Linked DNA regions of Kluyveromyces lactis. The protein of the gene in region 1 interacts with the protein of each later gene in a pairwise test. Links are inferred from orthologs where the notes say so. Each region holds a gene or a part of one and is shown on either strand. Other genes may lie near its edges.

The links.
Region 2: the proteins of SPT5 (region 1) and SPT6 interact in binary tests that used the Saccharomyces cerevisiae proteins (3 or more experiments, as listed by UniProt). The link is inferred for Kluyveromyces lactis from reciprocal best matches to the Saccharomyces cerevisiae genes SPT5 and SPT6.

What each region holds. Positions count from the first base shown.
Region 1 is NC_006038.1:68,441-72,968, forward strand, and holds the start of SPT5 (transcription elongation factor SPT5), read right to left. Parts: upstream 2,913-4,528; coding exon 1-2,912. Other genes in the region: RAD33 (Rad33p), read left to right, coding at 3,230-3,760; ERV25 (Erv25p), read right to left, coding at 4,088-4,528. UniProt on the Saccharomyces cerevisiae protein: The SPT4-SPT5 complex mediates both activation and inhibition of transcription elongation, and plays a role in pre-mRNA processing.
Region 2 is NC_006038.1:992,841-995,259, forward strand, and holds the end of SPT6 (chromatin-remodeling histone chaperone SPT6), read right to left. Parts: coding exon 578-2,419; downstream 1-577. UniProt on the Saccharomyces cerevisiae protein: Histone H3-H4 chaperone that plays a role in maintenance of chromatin structure during RNA polymerase II transcription elongation thereby repressing transcription initiation from cryptic promoters.

The DNA.
Region 1 (4,528 bases):
CAGGCAGAGACACCTCCCTGGTTACCACCCCAGGTAGAAGTACCTCCATAGCTTGATTTATTGCCACCGCCCCAGGCAGAAGCTGCTCCTGATTCTCCGCTTGCTGCCCAAGAAGAGGCGCCTCCATAACTAGATTTATTACCCCAAGTGGACGCACCACCCCAAGTTGATGTAGCACCTTGCCCACCCCAGGTGGAAGTGTTTCCAGCAGCTCCACCCCAGGCAGAAGCACCACCAGGGCCTTGTCCGCCCCATGTCGAAGCACCACCCCAGGATGAAGTTCCTCCGTTCTGGCCAACCGCAGGAGTTTTACCGCCATCAAATGCATTCCAACCAGGAGTCATTCCACCAGGAAGTTGTTGCGGAGTGTTCGTTGCCACCGCACCACCGGCAGCCATGTGTCTTGGTGCACTGACATAGCTTGGGCCCAATCTGGTATGTGGAGTTCTACCACGTCTACTAACAAGTTCATCGTATGTTATACCTTCACCACCTTCATGACTGAAGTAAGTAAGTTTTCTTTTGTCTATTGTAATATGCTTATTTTTGGAGTGCAATTCAATAGTAGCCTTATCTCCATTGACGTCTTTGACAATACCCAACTGCCCCTTGTATCCCGCAGAACGTATCCTAACAGTTTTGTTCAAAGCGACGTCACGGCCAACTAACCGCGTCTGCTGAGTAGTTTGTGGTGGTCCCATCTTAGACGCAATATTTGGATTTATTTTAGATAAATCCAATGCTGACGACATCAAGTTTTCTTTTGAGGCGACAGCCTCGACATTCATTGGATTAACAACGAAAACACCGGCATTTTCCGTTATTGTTTTCGATCTAATGAAAATATGTTGGTTTTGAACGTAGAGTACTTGTCCCTCTCTACGGGAACCGATCTTTTCTCTTACTACATCGCCAATTTTTATTTCTCTACCATTACCATCGACAGCAGCTACTTTCGCTCTTGCTACATTGATCTTGGCAAGAATTGAGCCTTTAGTAACAGTAGCCACTTTACCGGAGTCGTCAATAATCTTGAAAATATCATGTCCAGCCTGGATCACACATGCCACGTTTTTGGCACTTAACTCAACAATGTCATGTAGAGCGTACTCGCTTGATGTCGGAGTAGAATCCATAGATTTACTCAAGTTATTCGCAGAGATTGTCAAATTTTCTCTAGTTTGGTCAGAAACAAATGTGACTTGACCGTTCTGCACCAAAAGAACCAAACCAGCGTTACCTTCATGTTCACCAGCTATTACTGTGACATGGTCACCAAGTTCGAAAATTTTTCTTAGAGATGCAATTGGGAACTCTAATGATTTATCTGAAAAGCCCGATAGTTTAACGCTGATGACGTCTTTAGAACTTCTAGTCACCACACCTCTAGATCCACGTTGTTCCCCGGTCAACACTTCAACACGGTCACCTGGTTGAAACATAGCTTTAGAAGCTTGAGCTTTTTTCATAGTTTGAGCAATAGCTGCTAGATCGACATCACCTTCTTTACTGCCGAACCTTGATAATTCTTCCACCGTAGGTTGGATATTCTTTGTATCAAGATACTGAATCTTAAAAGATTTGAAAAGATAACCGTCAACATAATCTTCCTTCCTGTAAGTGAAGTGCCTGTCATCTCTTTTGAATAAGTTGGCTTGGTCTAACCTTAATGCCATAGTAGGGTTAAATAATTGAGGAGGAGGCCTACTAGCAAACGTTGCTCTCTTTGCCTTTCTCTGATTTGTATCTGGGTCGATTTCGTCATTTTTACCGTAGTCTAATCTGGGTACAATCTTTAATAGAGCTTCTAAGTTGTTCTGACTAATTTGATCAATGACTGCCAAATCATTCTTATAAATACCCCTTTTAATTCTAACATAAGAACCAACATCAAGTCTCACTTCATCTGACTTGGTAGGCTTTAATAGTAAAGGTAGTTCTTGCACGGGAATCAAAAGCTTTTGATTAGAATAGACATCTGGAACACCGTTGACAAATTTTTCGATAACAGATTGTTTTGGAGCTTCGATATAGATTCTTCCTGTGTAATTGTCTCTTTGGAAGATGGACAGAATCTTTAATTTTTTAGAGCCCATAGATTTATCCAAGTTAAACTTCTTATTTAGCAACTTTCTCACTAGTTCTTTCTCCTTCCCTGGTCTACAACGAACGGACCAAATAATAGCAGTATCAACACTTGGTAACATAAACCTCTGAGGTACATACCCACCTTGAGTTTGTACACGGTAATCTTTGGAAGAGTCACGACCATAACGTTTCTTGAAGTCTTCAGCGATCTTGTGCATGTCTTCATCCGCAGTTTTTTGAAGATTTTGATCTAATTCTCTATGCAGTCTGTCATCAACTCTACCACCACGATCCTCTTCGTCTTCTTCGTCACCGCGAGTAATGAAACCTTCACGAACTAGTTCTGAATCTTCTTCATCTTCTTCGTCGTCTTCGTCTTCACTGACTTCGGCTTCAATATCCAAGAATCTGTTTCTTTCACGACGTTGCTTCTTCCTATATGATTCGACATCTTCATCTTCGTCATCGTCATCGTCATTGTCATCGTCGTCATTGTCATCTTCATCATCTTCATCGTCTTTGTTTTCTTGACTGTTTTCTTGATTGTTCCCTTGATTTCCCCTAATTGGACTATCTTCAGTAGCCTCTGTCTTTGGTTTAGAATCAGTAGGAGCGTCCTTTAACTGATCGACAGATGCAGAGTTGTTTTCAGAACTCCCATCAACTTCATCGATAGTTCTTTTCTTGCCTCCAACCACATCTGTAGAATCAGACGAAGATGAAGTAGAGTTATGCTCCTTATCTTGACTCTCAACTGACCCAGAAACTGTTTCAGGTACAGAAACAGCCTCTGCTTTATCGGATTCCTCAGCAGTACCGCTCATGACGTCTTACTGACTGTTGCTTTGTATCGTGAATGCGAACTGTAATGCATACTGATCATCATTACAACTTAGCGTGGACTACCATTTTTGTATTGAAAATTGGGAAGTTTAGATTGAAATTTTTCAAGGATCACAAATAGAGGGTAACTCTCGCCTAAGTATTTCAAAAGTACTTAAGTAGCCGATGAATCAGTCTGCATCACTTCATAACGAACGGGCAGCTAGTACCTTATGTAGTCTTTAATATATAACATCAGCTCTGGCTACGTTAAGGACAATATTAACCGATGAGTCATTGCTGACCAGATAATGTAGTTATGCGGAAAAAGAATGATGTCAGTTATGACACAATTACCAGATGGAATGAGGCCAGAATGCCCACCGAGATTGAAGATGAAGTCCTATCGATATATTTAAGCTTCACCGAAGAAGGTGAATTCAAGTGGGCTGATATTTCTAGTTTTTATACGGAATTACAAATCAGTAAATCATGGTACGGATTATTAGAATTCAAGGACTTATGCTTGGATGGAATTGACGTCATAGATTTCGAAAAACTCTTGGATGTCACTTATCGACTCTTGATCTTCATGGACAACGAGAGTATAATAGATAAACAATGGGAACTACTATTAAAATATACCGGTAGATTGCAACAGTTCCCTAAGGTTGCACTAAGGAAGCACGTGATAAGTGTTAAAGATGTCCAGAAGGCTGCTGTTCAAGTGGATATGGATCAACATATTATCCTGTCAATGGTAAGTTGGGCTACGAACGGCGAGAGGGTATTTGTCACTTACCTAGACTTTGCCAAATTACTTGGTAAAATGGGTTTATTAAGATACTAGCATCATTGCAATCCACTAAATAATTCACTTCCTAAAAAACACGTCAATCTTTGGAACATTTGGAAGAATATCACTAGTAACTTAGTACAAAACTTATAAATGTAACTGGTGGCCATATCAACATAGAATTCTAGCAAAAACAAAGACCTACCCGTCTAGGCATAATATAATCCCTTTCCCCCTCTACTCGTCCGATTTAGAAATTATGCCATTTTCCATATATAGATACTGTACACGTATAAAAGGCTCACCATATGATGTATGTTTCTTCAATTCAATATTTGAAGATCGTATTGAGATTCAAGGCATTGAAACTATTCGAACATTCTAAATAATGTGCTTAGCTCTAAAGAAGTTCTTCATGTAGTTTACTTGCCATGCACCCAAAGCGACCAAAACAACGATGACAGCGATAGAAAAGTTTCTAACTCTTCTGTTGGTGGACTCGTTGGTGTCTCTTAGTCTTTCTTCTCTCCCCTTCAAGTAGTTGAATTCATCAACAATTTCGTCAGTCAATTCTTCAATCCTACGTAGTTCAACTTCCACCGGTTTCAATTTTTCACTGGCTTGAATCTTGTTCCAATCACGAGCCTCGGATCCGGATTCAATATCCAATTCAATGGAACGGCTCAAAGATCTACCGTTAACTTGCGCCACATTCTCGAAACAAACATCAAATGAGGTGGATTGTGGAGCAGTAAATACAACACGTACTTCTCCAGCAATGTCTCTATTCCTACGGTATTCGTTACCGTTACTGTCACGAAC
Region 2 (2,419 bases), about 920 kb from region 1:
TATATATACATCGCAACACCAATTCAATCGATGAACAGGATTGTTTCTCCGAGCGACTTTGTATTCAACCCGTTGTTAGTGGTCATTGTGCATGATTCAGATCTATTTCTCAATATCAATCACTGTGTAAGCATTTGCACTGCGTTTATTTCTGAGTAAAAGTAATTTTTCACTTTCTAATGACCAGATGACTCAACTTTAAGTTTAGTCATTTTTTTTTCCCTTTCCCAATAAATGTCTCGAACGAAAAAAAACGGACTCCAGGAATTAATACTAAGTGCAGACAGCGATAACATACACGTTCCTGTTGCTTGTCTTGGTGAAAACTCTGAGGATTTCATTTGATTGTAATTGCCAGGATGAATGGAGCTAGGATTTCTCAAGATATTTGGGTAAAGTTCAGATCTGTTTCTAAGAAAGTGCATAGTAAACTATAGCTATAACCTTCATGAAGTCATTCGAGATCTTTTCGATTACTATTATACACATACAACTTGCATTATTATTTTATATATTGTCTTATTAACACATTCGATGGAGGGAGAACAGAAAAAAATGCAACTGTTGTTACCGCTGCTCAATATCCATAGTAGCCTCCCGAGTTGTTGTTGTTGTTGTCTTGGGTCTTGTTTCTGCTACTGGATTTGAGAAGAGTTTTGAAACCATTGCAGAGTTGAATCACAGTTGGATAGTTGTAATTAACCAAGAAAAACCCAGTATGTGTAAGTTTAACATTCCATACGTATAGTTGGGACTGGGCATTGATTTTAAACATTAGGTAGAACCATCCAGGGTGTTCGTAATTGAAACTGAAATAATAAACGGATCTGTTGGGGTTCACCTTCGAATAGTCTTCGATGAACTTGATGACTTCTTTCTTGGTTCCCTTTTTGAACTTTTCGTTAGAAGTAATTTCGTTTAGCAACCTCACTTTATTCTGCAAATATTCAACGATGATTTGATCTAGATCATGATATTTTTGATCCTCCACTATTAGAGTCTTACCTAACGCCAATGGATTTTCCTTGTCCTTTTCCAGGATATCAACGTGTTGGAACAAATCTTTGTCCAACTTCCATGTAATGGCAAGGTGATCATCACCACGAGAAGATTGTCTGATAACGAAATCACCACGTTCTCTACTTCTGAGATAATCTTCTGCTTGAGGACCGGTGAAATTACCATAGTATGGATGGTTAATAACACGGTGAGTTCTCTTAGCTCTAGCTTCCTCTAAAGCAAGCTTCTTCTCAATTTCTTGATCTTTCATTTCTTGTTCGACGTTCCAAATGCTTGGATCCTTGCTGTAATGGATAGGAACGTATTGGCGTCTAATGTCGTGTTCTAACAATGATACTTCACAACTTATGTTATCATAGTCGATATAAATAACCTTAGCTGGGTAGGTTTTTCCAATTTCATAAACTTCTTCAGCAGGTCTTTTCAACTGAGCACCTATGTGACGTTGTGCATTGATAACACACTCGACACCAGAATTTGTGACACCATATATGTCATTATGTCTGAATCTTTCCACTCTAACTGGAATGATACATCCCTTGAAGAAGGTTTTTTCAGATTCACCTGTCAAACTCTTGAAGACTTCGTCACCGTGTAGTGGGTGGAAATCATTTCTTAGTTCTTCAAATCCTTCCAAAAGTTCCAAGACAATAGTATTCAAATTGTTCAACTTTCTTTGACCTGTATTCTTTTCAAGTTCTTCTGCGTACGCTTCGAGGTTCAAAGACTCAAGTTTGGTTCTGCGGTCTGGATCTTCCCTCAATAATTCGATAAATTCGCTCATAGTACCTTGTTCTTCCTTTTCTGCAATAGCATCAGGATCAAATTCCAAGGCGTCAGCAGCAACCTTGGTAGCCAAATGGTAATCTTCTGGGTGAATTCTAGTGCCATCTAGTTGATCATGTTCCAAATCTTCGTAACGTTGGTTCTTTTCGTTCCAGGATATATACAAAAATGCAGCAGAATTCATGAAAATGGTTTTCGTTAGAATATCATGAGTAATCAATTGTTGGCGTGCTAATAATGGCTCATTTAATCTTTGCAATGATTCAAGGAAATCAGCAGACTTACGTCTTCCAAAGCCAGCAATATAACGTAATGCTTTGGCGTAGTAATGGTTGTCTGTAGCCTTGTTTACTTCAATACCAACTAAATTCACAATATCTACGAAAGAAGTTTCCAAGGCTTGTAAAAATAGCTCCCTAGTCAATAGGGACTGATGACTGTGTATTGACAAAGATAGCAGTTCTTCATTTGTTAGATTAGCGTATTCCAACAATGGAGAATGAATATAACGACCCAAAGCTATACAATATTTCACCAATGTAGGCTTGCTTGGGAATTCTTGTGCCGCACGCTCTGATGATTGATAACGCACAGCAACCTCATCCTCAACGTA